Drosophila melanogaster: one gene and its partners. The protein of the gene in region 2 interacts with the protein of the main gene of each other region in a pairwise test. Each region holds a gene or a part of one and is shown on either strand. Other genes may lie near its edges. The genes, in order: PGRP-SA, Sod3, CG6878 and pie.

Evidence for each region.
Region 1: the proteins of Sod3 (region 2) and PGRP-SA interact in a two-hybrid assay, tested with the Drosophila melanogaster proteins (one large-scale study listed by BioGRID).
Region 3: the proteins of Sod3 (region 2) and CG6878 interact in a two-hybrid assay, tested with the Drosophila melanogaster proteins (one large-scale study listed by BioGRID).
Region 4: the proteins of Sod3 (region 2) and pie interact in a two-hybrid assay, tested with the Drosophila melanogaster proteins (one large-scale study listed by BioGRID).

What each region holds. Positions count from the first base shown.
Region 1 is NC_004354.4:11,559,081-11,563,288, reverse strand, and holds PGRP-SA (peptidoglycan recognition protein SA), read right to left. Parts: upstream 1,647-4,208; 5' UTR 1,317-1,646; coding exon 1,009-1,316; intron 951-1,008; coding exon 832-950; intron 771-831; coding exon 586-770; 3' UTR 510-585; downstream 1-509. UniProt on the Drosophila melanogaster protein: Peptidoglycan-recognition protein that plays a key role in innate immunity by binding to peptidoglycans (PGN) of Gram-positive bacteria and activating the Toll pathway upstream of spz activating enzyme SPE.
Region 2 is NT_033778.4:11,379,675-11,386,196, forward strand, and holds Sod3 (superoxide dismutase 3), read right to left. Parts: upstream 4,441-6,522; 5' UTR 4,341-4,440; intron 3,402-4,340; exon of another isoform or gene 3,258-3,401; intron 2,644-3,257; 5' UTR 2,638-2,643; coding exon 2,575-2,637; intron 2,509-2,574; coding exon 2,281-2,508; intron 2,218-2,280; coding exon 1,989-2,217; intron 1,921-1,988; coding exon 1,899-1,920; coding exon of another isoform or gene 1,895-1,898; exon of another isoform or gene 1,355-1,894; coding exon 1,165-1,354; 3' UTR 1,120-1,164; coding exon of another isoform or gene 1,008-1,119; 3' UTR 775-1,007; downstream 1-774. Other genes in the region: sprt (sprite), read right to left, coding at 5,387-5,768, 5,882-6,522. UniProt on the Drosophila melanogaster protein: Protects the extracellular space from the toxic effects of reactive oxygen intermediates by converting superoxide radicals into hydrogen peroxide and oxygen.
Region 3 is NT_037436.4:15,159,916-15,163,153, forward strand, and holds CG6878 (uncharacterized protein), read left to right. Parts: upstream 1-1,901; 5' UTR 1,902-2,087; coding exon 2,088-2,218; intron 2,219-2,341; coding exon 2,342-2,450; 3' UTR 2,451-2,555; downstream 2,556-3,238. Other genes in the region: Prp31 (Pre-mRNA processing factor 31), read left to right, coding at 1-542, 602-937; CG7011 (uncharacterized protein), read right to left, coding at 1,049-1,184, 1,250-1,457, 2,585-2,922, 3,072-3,238.
Region 4 is NT_033779.5:10,419,904-10,424,764, forward strand, and holds pie (pineapple eye), read right to left. Parts: upstream 2,878-4,861; 5' UTR 2,741-2,877; coding exon 2,627-2,740; intron 2,560-2,626; coding exon 925-2,559; 3' UTR 722-924; downstream 1-721. Other genes in the region: RfC3 (replication factor C subunit 3), read left to right, coding at 1-27, 88-302, 365-442, 498-649; Wdfy2 (WD repeat and FYVE domain containing 2), read left to right, coding at 3,617-3,777, 3,848-4,195, 4,468-4,580, 4,641-4,767, 4,831-4,861. UniProt on the Drosophila melanogaster protein: Required for survival of imaginal disk cells possibly by regulation of cell apoptosis. Required for germline stem cell self-renewal through mediation of BMP signaling.

The DNA of each region.
Region 1 (4,208 bases), on a different chromosome or scaffold from region 2:
GTGGTAAAGTAAACATTTTGAATTGTTTGCGTTAACCAGAAAAGCGAATTCGAAGCCATTTATATTTGCACAAATTGTTTCAAGTTGCAATTCTCGAACTGTATTCGATAATGCGAATCTATTTCTTTGCACAACCCACTGTATGAAATTGTTTACTAACTGGAAGACTCTTGTCACTCTTCTGCAAAGTACTTTCACATTTTTTTGAATATCCCTATTCTTATTTTGCCTAATGTTAGTATAAAGACCCTAGTTATTAAAAACAACAACAAAACAAGCCAACGTCAGACACTATTTGTAGCGTTTTCCATATACCCTTTAAATCCCTAATTAACCCGATCAGTTGTTTTCGCCTGCACACAAATGTTACTTATAAAGCATAAGAATGCAGGCACCCACCCATACACTACACTATATATTCATATATATTTTTACGTCCGACACATTTTTGTAAATTATGACAGAAAACAAAATAGAAAATTATAAAATAAAAACCACAAAAAAATACTCAACAACATTGGTTTATTTACTTTACTAAACTGATATGCTCATTCTGGCAGACTACTGCAATTACTTGTAGTTGATTTAGGGATTTGAGAGCCAGTGCGGCCACTCTTGGATCTCGTTGTATAGAGTCAGTCCGGGACTCTGGGTGCTGATCACCTGGGAGCCGGCGATCAGGGCGTAATCCTCGCTCAGCTCACCCTGCTGCACTCCGCAGGCCAGCAGATCTTTGGCCGCCTGGAGAGCCGCATCCGATGGAAGTTTATCTATCGGAGATGTTGGGCATGTAGTGCTCCACATAGCGGAGAATATCGATTTGCAACTTACCCACAAAGTTGCCGATAAAGGCTATGCCCGTGCCAATGGCATTGTATCCATAGGTGTGGGCACCGCGCAATCCCCAACCAGTGCCTTCGTATACGATACCATCGTTGCCGATCAGGAAGCTGAAAGAGATCATTATCATAATAGTTATCTTGATAATTGCGAAGGTGCCATCCGTACTTGTAACTAATATCGTTGAAGTCCAGCTCGTTCTGATGATACGCCTGCATGTTCTGGAGAATCTCGGCGCACTTGAGCAGTCCGCTGCACTCGCCGGTGACCGTGTGATGGATGACCACATAGCGGATGGGACGCACTTGGTAGTGGAGTCCCAACGAAGGCTTGCCGCCCCACTGACGCTTCAGCTTGATGGTGGGGCAATTGGCTGGCGAACGCTGACGCGACTTTCCGGCGGAGACGAATGCCAGCAGTAGTAGCACCAGCCCAATGGCCATAATCCAAGGAGATCCGAATCGAACCGGCTGCATGATGTTGATGTGCTAAGATCTAAGGCTGGATGAGAACTGCTCTCGATGGGCTATCTGCCGGATTTATCAGGGCCAACGATCCGAGCTTTCTGGAGCTTACGATCCCGCAGAGCCACAGGGGACTCCCGTCCATTAGCCATCTCCAGATCTTCCGATCCGTCGCAAATCTCCGCGTTCTTTGTTCGGTTCTTTTTGTTTTGCATCACATTTGCGAAGCGACAAGCAAAAAGCCCAAACAACAATTTAAAACGGGTTGAAAGCCGATCTCTGTGATGGAATTTCCGCTTTTCAGCTAGTGACGAATGCTTCCCTAGAAGCAGTAAGATTTGTGATATGTACACACGAATACTAACAGTTAAACTAAATTAATGATTAGCTGAAAGTCTCGCGAGAAGTTCACTGATAACAGCCGCAGAGAGCGTTAGATTTTTATTTTTTTGTTTGCAAATTGAGTAGTAAATATGTAAAAAAAAAGTATAAGTGTAGCAATATTACTCACGAATATATTGTGTATATTATCGTTCGAGCTTATAAATGAAAAGATATAGAAGGCTCGCATGCCGACATGTCGTTCATTAAATCAATTTATGGTTAATGAATTAAAAAAGAGGGCGAGGAAAAACGTATACTTCCCTTAAATAGAACGTAATGGCAATAGTTTTTGCCAAAAAACAAAAAATGAACAAACAATACATTTTGTAGGTCAATGAAATGCGTGTAAATGTTTAATACCGTCCGCTTTTCTTTACTAACTTCAATTTCCAAGGGTAAAAGTGTTAAATGCCAGCTAAAAAAAGGCAGTTTCAATAGTTTTTGCCAAAAAACAAAAAATGAACAAACAATACATTTTGTAGGTCAATGAAATGCGTGTAAATGTTTAATACCGTCCGCTTTTCTTTACTAACTTCAATTTCCAAGGGTAAAAGTGTTAAATGCCAGCTAAAAAAAGGCAGTTTCATTAGGATGAATAACTCGCGGGAAAAGTTAAAGATTCTTTTAAAAAGTAGATAATAATTGACCCCCATGCTATGAACTTGATTGCGATGTGTGTGGTGTCTATAAATTGTGAATTACTCATGGCATTTGCATTTGCATGTCTCTGCCTTAAGGTTTTCCACCGAAGGCGATCCGCATTGCAAATGCATTACGCTAACCACTGGATGCATTTTTTTATTCATTCATTCATTCTATTTTGGTTTCTGTTATTATTGGTGCTATTGATAAAAGCCGTTTGCCCGATAACTGCCACCCACTACAGGGCGGGGCAATCCGGCGTCATCTCCGCCGCACTAGCGTTACTCATCAGACTTACCGCTCAGTGTTTTACTGCTGCACTGCAAGAAAGACTATCTAATTTCGCGTTACTTCACCGAAAGTGATATTATGTTTATCAAAGTTTTTATGGCTTTGTAATTGATGATATAAACAAATGGTTATAGACATGGTATTGGATATCATTGGTAATAGATATGTTGTTTATAAATGGGGTTATCCATAAATAATGTACGAGCAGATCAATCAGATATTATTAATCATATAAATTCAGTGTGCATATATACTTTGTGGTACTAGATAGATTATGCATATCTTACATATTTATATAATAATTCTAATTCTAATATGAACACACACTAGTATTTCTTTTCAGTGCACTCTCTATCGCCCTCACCCACTTTTCTCACTCTCCACTTTCAGGTGGCGCTGAGTCAGAGAAAAAGTCCGAGGAGCTTCCACTAGCAAGTTTAATTCCTTTCTTTTTAATTGCCAATCCGTGGGCGGCCAATGAACAGTGTCAAGGGGGCGTGGCCGGGGGCCTAGTTGCACTTGAAGATTACAAATATTAAGGTTGGCCGCTCCGCTGCTTGGCTGCTCTGCCGCTCACTCGATGACATCATGACGTCAGGCGTCATTTATACCGCGCTAGCCAGCAGTCAAGTCAACTTGTTGGCGTTGTTGGCTGAATTGCCTTGCTGATACCCTGGATGAAAACGCATCCGGGTGGCATAGACCAGTCATTATTTCCAATGTTGTGGCCAAAAAACTAAATATTTTCTTCCTTTAAATCTGAAAACCGTCTTTTGGCCAAAAATACGATTTATGCAAAGGGTGTTTTTATCATAACTTGTCTAAAAATGGTCATAAACGCATAGGAATGACTGTTTTGTGCAGCTAATAACCCCTACTAACTATCCCTATCACTTTTTGATGGATTTTGAAAAATTAATTTTTGGGTCGATTTTTGCATATTCGGTATTCATCAAAATTTGCGAAAAATGGCAAAAAATTAAAAATCCAAATTTTAAACACAGTTTGATTAGAATTTTGAATACGAACTCAACGAGGTATGACAATCCATATTTGGATCATTATTTCCAATGTTGTGGCCAAAAAACTAAATATTTTCTTCCTTTAAATCTGGAAAACGTCTTTTGGCCAAAAATACGATATGTACAAAGGGTGTTTTCTTATAACTTATCTAAAAATGGTCATATAAGTACAAGAATGACTGTTTTGTGCAGCTAAAAACCACTACTAACTATCCCTATCACTTTTTGACGGATTTTGAAAAATTAATTTTTGGGTCGATTTTCGCATTTTCGGTAAGGGGTAACATCATCAAAATTTGCGAAAAATGGCAAAAAATTAAAAATCCAAATTTTAAACACAGTTTGATTAGAATTTTGAATACGAACTCAACGAGGTATGACAATCCATATTTGGATCATTATTTCCAATGTTGTGGCCAAAAAACTAAATATTTTCTTCCTTTAAATCTGGAAAACGACTTTCGGCCAAAAATACGATTTAAATAAAGCGTGTTTTTATCATAACTTGTCTAAAAATGGTCATAAAAGTGCAGGAATGACTGTTTTGTGCAGCTAATTACCACTA
Region 2 (6,522 bases):
CACTTAGCACTTGGAACTCGACCGGGCCCAAGGCGAAATTAATTGCGTGCTTTCGTGCGCGGCAAAGAAAGTTGTAAATGCTTTCTCTTTCTCTGAGGACTGTGCGAAATAATTAAAGACGCCCAGAAGTATGCCACAGTCTTTCGGATGATGTTAGTGTTGCGTGTCGGGAATTATGGCCCTAGGTTTTCTAGAATCCCACTGTTTGACCCATTCTCTGGCTGAGCCTATCTGGTCGAAGAAATCTAGAAAAAATAAAAGCAAAAACTGTTGCTTGACCATTAGTTGCGGCGGCTTGGAATCAAAATCCCTGGGAATTGGAGTTCTCTGAATGATTGGAGCACAAATATTTTCTGAAGGCTTCCGCAATTTAAAGCAAATTGTGGCTCTAAGCTGGAATTCAGCAAATCAAAGGCAACTAAATGTTATATGACCCATTCGCAGCCACATAAAGGTGTATGGGTAGGAAAAGCTTTGGTGACGTCGAAGTTCTATATATAGTTTTCCTACCAACTTTTTGAGTGTTCATTTATTTGGTAACCTATTTTAGGGAACAAACAGCTATTTGTCCTTAGAAATCAACATACAAAATTGAAGTTATATTTAATTCTCTTGATAACTTACTACTACTGTGATTTATGTGCAATTCTAACAGTCCATTGGAAACACTTTGTCTAATCTTTTTTATAAAATTAGAGCTAACCCTTATCTGTCGTTCATTTTCAGCAACTTTTGTTACTATCTAAGCACGTACAAATTGCAAGCACCCGAAATACAAATAACAAACTTTATTATCGATCAATTCAAACACTTTACAAGTAGCTTAGTTAGTTCCTTTGATTTCTCTATTTGGGTGGATAATGCTGGAGTATTATAATTACTGTTGGTAGTGGTGTGCGACTCATGGTTGTGTGGTTAGTGTGTAAGTAGGTATGCAGATCACTACGATGGCCAACAATCCCATGCCACATGCGTGCATTCGATCCGATCCGGGTGCATGTTTCGGATTAGTCAAGGCTGCGGGCCATGATGAGGGCCACGATGACGGTCAGGATGGAGAAGGAGTAGCGCAGGGCGCCGGCGCCACCATCGCGACATGGCCACTCGTCCACATCCGAGCTGCAATTAGAAGGTGGAACAGGCGAACGGTGTAGTCTCGCGATCTCACAGATACAATTGGTGCGACAACGGATACGGATAGGGGTATGGGTGCGGATATGGATATGGGTGTGGGTATGGCAAAGGATAGTGCTGGAGTGGATAGACAACATGATCTTGTGGCTCCCCATGGGGCACATAGTACAGTGGCTGATGGCGTGGTGTTGGTGGTGCAGGTGCAGGTACAGATGGGCCACTGGAAAACATACAATGTGAGTTTTTTGATTGAACCCTGGTTGGATCAGTAAAGTTCCGATTCCAGCGGCAGTTGTTATTCCAATATCCCCTTCTCTTCGCCGACCGACCGACCGACCGACCGACCGACCGACTAATGCTAATGATGTTAGTAAAAATGATAGGTAAAAAGGCTCTCTGTCATACCTACCCACTCGGAAAAGCAACCCCAGCAAAGCGCGAAAGTTTGTTTAGGCCATGAATATGAGGTGGTAGAACACAAGTGGTACAGAGTATGCTAATGTTTAGCTTAGATTTCGGTTAATTTTTGTTGATTTTATTACACACAAACACACACACGGCAAATCGAGTGAGTCAGTGAACTGAGACAATTAATTGAGGGAAATGTGTAAGCCAAACATGTAAGGGTGAGTGTGATTGTGGGTGGGGGAATTGGGAAAATTGGGAAAACATTTCATTAGTTACTACGCCTGGAGTTACACAACTACACATAAAGTATTCGAGCAGCATATTGATTTGGCTGACACGTTGGAAGGGATATTTACTTGATGCCAATAACACCACAGGCTGAAAGAAGGTTTAAAACAAATATTTTATTATTATTATTATTTTATTATTTTACACTGACTACTTACCAATGCGGCCGCCTGCATTGCCGGTCTTCTTGGAATCCGTGTGGTTGCCCAGACCGAGATCATCCTCCAATTCGTGGACAACAACTCCCCTGCCAATGATCCCCAGCTTGCCAGTTAAGGTGATCACCTGATCCGTGTATGTAACGTCGATAATGCCCGTGGAGTTGGCCTCCAGGTTGCCCAGATCGCCAACATGACGCACCTCGTGATCGGGGCCACCGTGATCAACCTGAGACATAAAAGTTATATTAGTGATTTAGACACCTAATCCTATAAAGAATCCCGCATCTACCTTATCGGGGTTATAGTGAGCACCCATGCTGATGCATCCATTGGTCAGATCTCCCTTCTCGTGAATGTGGAAGCCGTGCTTGCCCTCCTTCAATCCCTCCAGCTGGACGCGCACATGGACATTCTGGCCACAGTCGTTCTGCGTAAAGGTCACGTTGCCCTTGACCTGGGTATTATCCGATTGCACGGGTCCAATCAGATAGGCAATGGCTTGAATGGGCATATTGCGCTGCAAAGTAAGTTCAGTGTCCTAATTATAAGTGGATTTTCAAATTAACGAGATTATATATCTTACCGTCTGCGCAGCAGAGCAAATTGTGGCACAGAGTGCCAGGCTAACAACAAGATATTGCATCATTTTGAACTGCAAGGAAATCATAGTTAAATTAGACACGTGTACGACTCGGATAGCAAATGTTAGAAATGTTTAAATGTCTATAAATAAATAATTTTAAATTGAGTGGCACAAGCAGAGAAAATCCCACCAGGGATGATCTACTGGACATAGCTAAAAATGAACTAAATGATAATCCTGAAATTTCGATAATTGATATGGACTCAATATTAAAAACATCTTCCAAAACTATTTATATAATGCTTTATAGTAAAGCTTTAAATGATTTGGAACCAAATACTTTCAGTTTTGGGAAATGCTAGGAGGGTTTATGTCTTGTAATCTCAAATTCCGTGATGCCAACTCATCTCTGGCACTTGAATTCCAGCTCATCTCTGGCTTGGACGTCATCAGGTGTACATTCTCTTGATTCCATTTAAACGGACAGTTGTGTGCGGAATTGAAGCGCCTAGCCTCAATTTATGAAACGATTTGTGGGTCATATATGATGTGCGAACGGGTATTATTATTTATGTGTGTGAATAATGAGCGATACCCAAACGAAACTAAATGCAAACAGCCTTTTTCACAGGGTTAAGTGCGGCTGCGGGAAGGTCAATCAACAATCTCTTTTTCGTACGCACTTCGCTTCCAAAGTTCCACAAATGAAATGGATGGGTGTCACACTTTATCGGGGCAATATTTGTTTATGGGTCCGGTTTCCTTACGGTCTTATCAATGTGTCTGCGATATGCTGGCGATCTTGCACGCTCGAGTTCTGAAACGATCTTCAAACGCGGTCAGTACCTGCTCTACACACGTATCCTTATCTGCACTTGGAATCGGTCCCATAATTTACGATTCTCACGCTCGTAGAGCGACTGAATTTCGGAACTAAAAATGCCATTGTCATTACGTATAAGTATTTTAATCTGTTTTTTGCCAGGTATTTACTTATTCTGGTTCAAACTGTCACGAAATGGGTCACAAATTGCAACTAATAGCCACTGCTTGTCCATCAAATAAGGTTTATTAGGGCTCTTGCTTGCTGATTAAATATGATTGATTTGAAAATAATAACTCAGTTTGAGTTTTACCGTGAAACGATATGCTAATGAAGATGCTTATCTGAACAATTTGATCGCAGGGCTCTCTTCGTGAATTTGCAAACAATACAGCCAAGATTACTTGATTTCACACACAGAGACTTCGCGTCTAATTTAAACGCCGAAGCTATGCAGTTTTGAGATAAGAACAAGCCATAATTTTACATATATGAAAAGATAGAATATCGTAAACACTTGTTCAACCAACTGTTCACGATTGGGAATTTAAATGTTTATTGAAGTTTTAAGCCGTGGAATGTGTGGATTGTAATGGATATGTACAATATTTTGTGTCTGGTCTGTGCTGCATTTTTGCCCACTCATTTTTCTGGATTAATAACTGGTTACCTTAACCCACTCAAGGGTGAGCGGACAGTGAATGAGAGAATCAAAAATCAGTGAAGTAAACTCCGTTTTTGCGGTAACTGGTTTCTTTTTGGTAACACGCAATTGTGGGTAATATATCTAAATCAGGTTCTAAAATGTAAGCAAACCAATAAATTATGAACAATTAACAATTACAATTAACTCAAGTAACTTCAACTTCAGCTTAACCTTCACCCAATATTCTCGATTACTAGCCCTTGATCTTCTTTTTTTTCGCGTCCGTTGCAAACTCACCTTGTTAGCAACTATTTTATAATTGGGTACTGATTGTTTTTTGCGAGAATTAAGCGATTGCACCTCTGTACCGTTGGAAACCTGCGACGGAACTGTTTCGAGCCTCTGGCATTGCCATCGCAAATCGACTCGCTGAGAGAACATTGGGGCAGATTTGGCGAGAGCAAGAAGACCGCAGAATTGAGAATTGAGAGCGCCACCAGGTGGAGCGGCGGATATTGCATTTGGCGGTCAGCACGATCGCGTAGGCGAGAGTTCCGCTCTCAGGTTTATCTCGGGCTTACTTCACCGCTCTATCGCTCTATCTCCCTCGTTGAGTTTTTTTTATCAACTGCAGATTGATCAGATTCTTTTGTCCAGCTCTGATGATATATTTATTATCCTATTAACGGCCTTTTTTTTAATTATATCCAAATTATAGCTATTAAGTAATTCTTTGAACTTACTAAAAGCGCAGCTGAAACACGCTAACGTGCTTTTCATTTGAATACCTTATCACTGTGGCGTCATAAAATATGTGCCAGGCTCGTGCCTACAATGGAGGTCGTAAATATTGGCATGCTTTCCAGATACGGCGAAGCAATTTGAAGAACTACTGCTACAAATTCTTTGAAAATGAGTTGCCAGGTAATAGCTTCTGATATGCCAACCGATGCCATGAAATTGTAGTTACATCACATTTATAGCAGGCCGGGATCGAATTTTTTAAATAAATAACGCATTTAAGTAGGTGAAAATATTCGTGTATTCACATTTGTAAATTGTGCTAATAAAATCATCGTACATACAAAAACTCTTAATTATTGATTCTCTCAATACTAAATGTTGATAGCCAAGCCCTACTTATACAAGATATAGAATGTAAGTACATACTACTGCTACTACATAATAAGAAACTTTCCACTTGGGAGCTGGTTAAAATTATATTGCCTACTGTAATTTTGCACATGTCCGCCTGTTTTTTGGGTTTAACCGCCGGTTAGGATCGGTCGAGGATTAAGCTACTTCGATTAACAATTAGTTTTGGTTGGATTGGGATCGGGTTTCTAGATGAGCTTGTGCCTGCCGAGGGAAGCCGTGTGCATGGGACTGCAGTTCTCGATGAGCATGGTCTGGCCCTCTCCAGTCGGTGATTCTCCACCTTTGTTGTTGTTGTTGTTGTTGTGGTGGACCCTCTTCATGGGCCGCTTTCGTTCGATATCCGCACAGGGGTGCAGCTCCACGGTCTGCAGACTTTGGGCTCGTTGCAGCGATAGCCGGAGGGGTTTCTTGGGCGGAGTGGGTCTAGTGGTACGCGTCTCAGTCGCAGGCTTCGATTCGTTTTCGCTATCGAAATCCAGGGATTTTACACTCCTCATATCGCTGGGCAGGCGGGCTCGAAGTGTGTTCGACTCACTTTGTCGGGGCGTGTCTCGGCGACGATCCAGTCTGGAATGGCGAAGAAGATCGGGGAGATTAGTCAGGAAAATTTAAATCTATGAAAAAGCCTGTCTTTGCTAGAACATCTACACAAGAATCTCGAAGAATCGCGAATAACCTACCCATTGTAATGATTCAGGTGCTCTACACTGCGTGCGTGCGTGCTCATGAGATGTTCGCGATGCAGTTGCTGCTGTTGCTGGAGAGGATCTCTGGGGCGTTCCCGGTGCTGGCGATCGCGATGGCGCTCCTTATCACGTCGATGGTGCTGCATATAGGCAGAATCGCTATTAATCGAGATCTTCGAGGCGGACAGCGATTTGGAGGGCATGGAGTACATGTGCGACAGACGATCTCTCAAATCGATGTGGGTATTCTCCTTGATCAGTGTTTTGGTTACATGTCCGGGAGGGGTTTGTGTCGAGGCCATGTCGTCACCCATCAGCTCGATGGGTTTGCCCCCCACCAAAGTGGTAATATAGTTGCCCCGCTGAAAGATCAACGGTTTCTCGGGCGGTGTTGATGGAGGTGATGATATGCTGATGCTGGTCACATGCTGAGATTGATTGGAGGATGTCTGCTGTGGATTTTGCTGTGGATTTTGCTGTGGATTTTGCTGTTGCTGCTGCTGCTGCTGCTGCTGTTGCGATGGATGATGCTCCTTGACTGTCTGCAGTTCTCGCACCTGCTCTTCCAGGTACGATATGCGATGCTGCAGCCTCATGTTGTTCTCCTTCTCCTGGTCTAGTTGCTTTTGTGGTAT
Region 3 (3,238 bases), on a different chromosome or scaffold from region 2:
CCAAGATCTACGAGTATGTGGAAAGTCGCATGACCTTCATAGCCCCAAATCTTTCCATGATTGTTGGAGCATCGACGGCGGCTAAACTCTTGGGCATTGCTGGTGGCCTTTCCAAATTATCCAAAATGCCGGCCTGCAATGTTCAGGTGTTGGGTGCACAAAAGAAAACCCTCTCGGGCTTCTCACAAACGCAGATGTTGCCGCACACTGGCTATGTGTACTACTCACAGATTGTGCAGGATACTGCGCCAGATCTGCGACGCAAGGCAGCTCGCTTGGTGGCCGCCAAGTCCGTGCTGGCTGCTCGTGTTGATGCCTGTCATGAGAGTGTCCACGGGGAGATTGGACTGCGCTTCAAGGAGGATGTGGAAAAGAAGCTGGACAAGCTGCAGGAGCCGCCGCCGGTGAAGTTCATAAAGCCGCTGCCCAAACCCATCGAGGGAAGCAAGAAGAAGCGAGGAGGCAAACGCGTGCGCAAGATGAAGGAACGATATGCGCTGACAGAGTTCCGCAAGCAAGCGAACCGCATGAATTTCGGAGACGTAAGTTTCTGGCTTAAAAATATAATGGTTATGTATTAATCTTTGAACTTTTCTTTCAGATCGAAGAGGATGCCTACCAAGGAGATCTGGGCTATTCACGCGGCACCATCGGCAAAACTGGCACCGGCCGCATCCGATTGCCCCAGGTGGATGAGAAGACCAAGGTGCGCATTAGCAAAACGTTGCACAAGAATCTGCAGAAACAGCAGGTGTACGGCGGCAACACCACGGTCAAACGCCAAATCTCCGGAACGGCATCCAGTGTGGCCTTTACGCCACTGCAAGGTCTAGAGATTGTGAATCCGCAGGCGGCGGAGCGTTCGCAGACGGAGGCCAATGCCAAATACTTTTCAAACACATCCGGATTCATGTCAGTGGGACAGCGGACCACTTAAGAGAACAGCTCTATCCTTATTTTCTATAAAATTAAGCACTTTTATTTGGAGATTTGTCGAATGTATATTGAGTTAGGCGTAGTAAAGCTGCATAAGAGATTCGAATTGTTGTTAGCTGAGCTTGCCGACTTCCAGTTTCCGTTGAATGGCCTCCCACGAGTTGTTCAGCAGCACGGCGAGAATGCCGGCCACCGTGAACACGCCTCCGATGATGGAACAGCAATTCGTGGCGAAGTGGCCAAATGAGCTGGGAATACACAACACAACCAATAAAACTTGTAAAATTAACCATTAGCTTTGTGGCTTACTGACCTGTGTCTCTCCGCATATTTCACCATCAGTGGCGAGAGCTCGTAGCTGAAGAATATCCCCGGCATTCCGCGCTCGCGATCTGAAAGATCTTTTCGGTATCGCGTGACGGAGAATTGATTCGTGTATATGGGCTCGCCGTCGCTGTTTCCTCGCATATATAATGTGGGAACAATTTTTAAATAGTAATTGAACATTTCACTTTTGGTTTCTGCAAAAAGAGGAGAGCAGATTTTCTAGTTTACTTCATTTGTCGTTGATAAATGTATTTAATTTGGTAAGGTAATTACGAATTAAACTTCATGCTTCTAAAAACAGGTATTTCACAATTCGAACAAATGAGTATATTTTTTCCAATTTAAAAAATGAAAATGCCCCACACAACAGACCTCCGAAGTTTCCCAGAAATTCTTCGAGGAGTAAAATATAAATTAAAATGGATGCCTGTGCTTAAATAACTTAGTTTTTTTTTATTTCAGTCTTAAGTATGCTTTTTAATAATATTAATAAATAAAGAATATAAATTGATTTTAAAGCACCCGCTTTTTAGCTACCGCCCCCTATCGGCTTTCTCTAGAACGAGGCAAGCCGAGCGAAAAACAAAGTGGCAACCCTTCTATAATTTGACAGCTCACGCACACCATCACTCAGCTGCTCACACTCACACGTTTACGAATTATTCGACTAGTCGGTGCCGAAATAAATAGAAATATTTTGAATATTCCTAAAATAAACGAACCTTCTGCGAGATTCATAAGTGCGTCGGAGCAGCGGAGCTTGCTACTCAGCGGTATCAACTCATATAGAGCCGGTGAACCAGGAAAACCACGGACTTAGCGGCATGCCTCTGCCTACGAGCTCATTTTCCCAGCAGGGACCAACGTGCTTCGATAAGATGAAGACGGGCTTCATCATCGGATTCTGCGTGGGCATGGCCAGCGGTGCGGTCTTTGGCGGGTTCTCGGCGCTCAGGTTAGTTGGACTTTGCACTCGGATGCTCCACTTAGCGCTCCTCCAAAGAAGTGACGCAAGTGGAGGCCGGCAATTATGTAATTACTCCGGCTAACTAACGAACCACATTGAAATACACTTTAGATACGGACTACGCGGGCGGGAGCTGATCAACAACGTGGGCAAGACCATGGTCCAGGGCGGCGGAACCTTTGGCACCTTTATGGCCATCGGCACGGGGATTCGCTGCTGATCCTGCTGGCATTTGACTAGAGTTACTAAACAACCACAACCTTAAGCCCTACTCCAATCTTGTTTAAATTACGCTAAGTTATTGCAATAGAGATGTTACAGAATTACGAGTCCGTGTTTGTGTTCACTACTCACCAGCCACGTCGACTCGTAGTCCATCCAAGGGATGCGTCTTGGCGAACTCTATCTTCTCGCCGAACGATAGGTGATTGATTGTGTGCGATAGCTTCACATTGCTGAACTGAAAGTCATGGATGTGGAACTGGCGGATGGAGAAGCTCTTGCCGGGCGCAAAGTGAAAGCTGCCGGCCATTCGATTCACTTCCAGGTGACCCTGGATGCGACAGCCCTCCTTGAAGGCGTCCTCGTCGCTGCGTTTGTACTTGCCCTTACATTGCTCGATCTTGTCCACGGCCACGGTCCATTTGCGCAGCCGGTAGGCGTCGAGAACATCCTCGCACGTGTTGCAGCAGCTAGATAGGATGGTAGTTGGTATTAAAAGGGGGAGATTAGAAAGCCATTGCTATAATTAGCTCTAGATACAGATATCTCCTTAGATAAATCTTGTCAGCGAAAATAGGTGGAACTAATGGTTGAACTTAGAAGCTGTTCACTATCTTACTGAGTAGCATTGTGCTCCGCTCCGTAACAACTGCCGCAAGTGACATTCTTATTGGGCGGCGAAACTGCAACGATTTCCTTGATGGGCGTCTCCTTGAGGGGCTCGCCATTGAGATCCAGCCGGTGCTTAAAGACGTCGTGGTCCACCCTCAAGTGTGTGTCGCCAGA
Region 4 (4,861 bases), on a different chromosome or scaffold from region 2:
ACTGGAAAAAATCATCGAAGCCGAAGCGTAAGGTCTTTCAACTGCATAAAATAGCTTATTACTAACCTAAAATCTATCAACTATCAGCGTTCAGATAACTGAGGACGGCAAGCGGGCACTGCTGACCCTGGCCAAAGGTGATATGAGAAAGGTCTTGAACGTCCTGCAGAGTACCGTGATGGCATTTGATACGGTAAACGAGGATAACGTCTACATGTGCGTGGGCTATCCGTTGAGGCAGGATATTGAACAGATATTGAAGGCCTTGCTATCCGGCAGTAGCTTGGAGGACTCCTTCAAAAGTATGATGCGATTTGAAATGGCGAAAGATCAAAACTAATGATTCTTTCTTCTCTTTGCATAGCTGTCGAAAGTGCCAAGTACGCAAGAGGTCTCGCTTTGGAAGACATCATTACAGAATTGCATTTGTTTGTTATGAGACGTAAGTTTTTATCAAGTTATCATCAAGTCAAGTTATTGATATGTATTCCAAACAGTTGAGCTGCCTATGTCGGTCATGAACAAGCTTATTGTAAAGCTAGCTCAGATCGAGGAGAGATTGGCCAAAGGATGTACAGAAGTGGCTCAAACTGCAGCTCTGGTAGCCGCCTTCTTTATTTGCCGAGATATGGTTTCAATGGAGAAGTGAAACAATGTGTACTCCAATAATAGGTTAGAATTAAATTATAAATACAAAAACATAAAACACAATTTATTTACTGCATGCTTCTCTAGTTTAACAATCATTAAACCTTTTTAAAGTGGTTTCAGAGGTAGGAAATTTTTTTTTGTTTTTTTTTTTTTTTTGGATGATCATGCGAAACAATATATGCATAAAGAGACTAGAATTCTATGACGAATTAATTCCCACACAAGAGAATTGTTTAAAACATTAAGAACATTAAGAATTGTTTTAAACAATATTTAAGAGAACCCCTCTGATCTGTACCATTCGTGGAACTTCTCGATATGCTCAAAGATGCCGCGGTCCTCGCTGCGGCACCATACATCGTCTGGTGTTATGTTGACGCGTTCCAAAGCTGCCTGCGAGGTGTCCTGAATGCGCGGGTCATCCTCTTTAAATCGCAGCACACACGTACCAATGCACTCACCCATGCATGTGCCGTGCTCAAATTCGTAGATAACCAAGTAGAAAAATGGTTCGCCAGGGCATTGAAAGCCCGATTTTAGCACAAGTAAAGTATTTGGATCCTCTTTCGGCAGTGACGGTGAGTTGGGAGCTTTCGCCACAGCTTGTTCCTGCGGCTGTGGACAATCGAAAGTTTGTGATACTAGCTGCGTTGAGAAGCTGGCTTCTGGCTGCGGTGAGTGTGGAATCGTGTTTAATGCTGTTTGCTGCGTTAATTCAGGGTTTACGTTTATTGCTGTTGTCTGCGGTAAGTCGGGGATCTCACTTGCTGCTGTTGGCTGCGGTGAGTCGGGGATCTCACTTGCTGCTATTGGCTGTGGTGAGTCGGATGTGTCCCTTCTTGCTATTGGCTGCGGCGAGTGGTTCTCATCGATGGACGTCTTTGGCGACGCCTCTGGCGAATCAGGAATTTCCACTATCATCTCCTCCTGTGGCGGCGATAAGGATAACCTCTCGCTTGTTGCGTTAGATTTCGGTTGGCTGAATATAACCGTGATATTACTACTTCGTTCGCTTTCGTCTTCTTCGGAGAAAACAGGAGTCTGGGTTAAGGATCGAGTTGCAGCATCGGGTCCCAATTTTTGCACATAAAAAGAGCCATCCACCTGGTTGTCGCCGTCAGCATTGGTTTCTTCTGTTGTGCGAGCCGGTCCTTCAGCAATCCTCCTCTCCACGTCCAGGCACATAGAGCACTTGAAATCTGTACGCTCGCGCTTCTTCGGCAGTCGCAGGGCGCCCACCAAGCATTTAAGATGAGCCGAAGTGGCGGCACAAGAACTGCAGCATAGTATCACCCACGATAATCTATTATAAGTTCTACCACTGGGGCACAGGCAGTTGGGCTGGTCGCATTTCAGATTGCGCTCGTGGAGCTCCCTATAGGCGTTCCGTTGCTTCTCCCACGTGGCATCGCGATCGGGCACGAATACCGACTGCAGGCGTATGGAATCCCTGAAACGTTCCGAACGACACCAAATGCAACGCAAGTAATATCCGGAGGTCAGAGCGTACTGACGCATGCATTTCTTATGGGCGAATCCGAGGCGGCAGCAGTCACCGTACACAACGCAATGCAGCTCTACCTTATAGATGGAACTGAAGCAGATGGGGCAAGTGGCGTTCCTCGGCGGATTCGACTGCAGCTGTCGCTTGTAGTCATCCATCGGCCTGCATTTGTAGCAGTAGCTTTTGTATTGGCCGCAGAACTCGAAAACGGCGCGATTCTCCAGGCCGCACTTCAGGTGAAACAATGACCGGCAACGATCGCATTGCAAACTGGCCCCAATCTTATTGCAGTACCAACATTTCCTCTTCTCCGCGGCGGCTGCCTCCTCGCGGATATCGCGAAGCAGAAATCCCAGGATTCCACTGCTATCTCCGCCGCGCTGCGGCAAATGCGTTGAGAGTAGCTGGTGGATTGGATCAGGAAGTTTACATTAGCGGGAGTTCTCTTCATTTCACAACAATCGCACTTACCAGGCAAAAATAGTGCACCTGCAAATTGCGTACAATCATCCATTCGCCAAAGACCAGGTCGTCAGTGTCCGAATATTTGCATATTAAGCATTGCAGCTCCTTGTTATCTTCCATTTGTAAGCTGGCCGCTCAGACTAGTTTTGCTGGACAGATCAACTCGTTTGAGTGCTATTATGAATAATTTTTAAAACTATCAACATGTTTTGCATTCCTTTTTTACTCTATTGGCGGGCAAGGATTTTGAAAAACAATAAATACAACAGCGCCTTATTATACTTCAATTCCACCAAGCACATTTTTGGAAAAGCTCTGTTTCCACTGAGCAACACTCACAATGATCTAATCTGCTTAACTAGCTATATTTTGCGTTAACCCTACTTATAATAAAATTATTTATTTATGTGTAATAATAAATTTTAACGTATTAAAAACTTAACACAATATAAACAAATATTTTGTGATTAATAATTAAATAGCATGATAACCGGAAACATAACTGTGCGTGGTCCGTAGGTTTTATTAGATATGATATGCCATTATGAAAATCATAAGACTATACATTTATAAAGCGATTTCTGAGATTCAAGATTCAAATGCTCGTTTGTATGTTTATAAAATGTGGTGCGTGCATATGCATACATAATGCTGCGACACATCACACGAAATACCTTCAGTATTTTTAATAGCAAAATAATATACAATAATACGCAAAAACTATATCTAACAATTAAGATTCTATTTTCATTTCATCGATTCCACTATTCCGCAGCATTCCTAAACTTGGCGTCGCTATCTAGACGAGCTTTCCAACAACAAAGTTCAGTATATTTAATGTTAAACAAAATAACACAGTTTTGTTAATTGATTGTGAATCACGTATCTCCATTCACCTTCCCCAGTCCGAGAATCGGATTGTTTATAACCGCATTATCATCGAGTGCGTTAAATAGGGCGTAGGCGTACCATCGGACTGGATCCACCTTAAATAATATGGCTGCCGAGATAAAACCAGCTCAGCGGACCAACAATGATCGCTTTAACACCTCCAAAAAGCCGGAATTGCTGAGTAAGCTGGAGGGCAGCAGCGACGATGTGAACGCAGCGATCCTAATTCCGGGCGAAAACGGCGTAATTAGCGTTTCCGATGACAAGTGCGTAGCTGTAGCCCATTAAAAATATACACAAATGGTATGCCTGACATTTTCATGTTTTCCCCAATAGAACCGTTCGCGTTTGGCTAAAACGCGATTCTGGTCAATATTGGCCTAGCATTTGCCAGTATATGCCTTCCGGCTGCACGGCCATCGAGTACGTTTCGGAATCCCGGCACCTGTACGTCGGCCAGGAAAACGGAACGGTCACCCAGTACGCGCTATCCGAAGACTGCAATCGCCTGTCCTTCCTGCGGGATTACTTGTCCCATCAAGCGCGGGTCATGGCCGTGGTCTTCTCGAAAACCCACAAGTGGATACTCTCCGCCGGCAAAGATAAGCAGTTCGCCTATCATTGCACGGAGAGCGGCAAACGGGTGGGCGGATACAACTTTGAGACACCATGCACGGCTCTCCAGTAAGTATGATAAATGGATGGTGAAAGGGGGAAGGGGGTGCGACAGTGGATATGGGATAAGCGGGTCATTTAATTGGATTAAACTGCTTTCTTTGACACGGCAATAAACTGCAATTCTTCACGGCTATGGAATTCATTTAGAATTTGAGAACCTTCTATTGTTAATGACGTGTCAACTGAGTCATTTTATCTACACAAAATTTTGGCATAAATGTGTGCACTGTGCGAAATATTCTATAAGCAACATATAATTAATTATAATCTGCGTTTAGGTTCGACGCTTTGGCCAAGTATGCCTTTGTGGGCGATCATGCTGGACAGATAACAATGCTAAGGTGCGATGTTCAGGGAGTGCAACTAATTACCACTTTCAATGGACATTCGGGTAAACAAGTTACAAATGATATTTAGTAAGCTAATTATATACGAATTGGTTAATTTTTAGCGGAAATCCGGTGCCTCAAATGGGTGGAAGGCCCTCAGCTCTTGTTTAGCGGAGCTTGCGATCAGTCCGTGCTAGTTTGGGATGTTGGTGGCAAACGTGGCACCATTTACGAGCTGCAGGGACATAGGTATCTCCAATCTTAAATAATATTCATAAAATAAGATAGTAATCGGCACTTCTGATTATGTAGCAACAAAGTTTCCGCCCTGTCGTACGCGAAT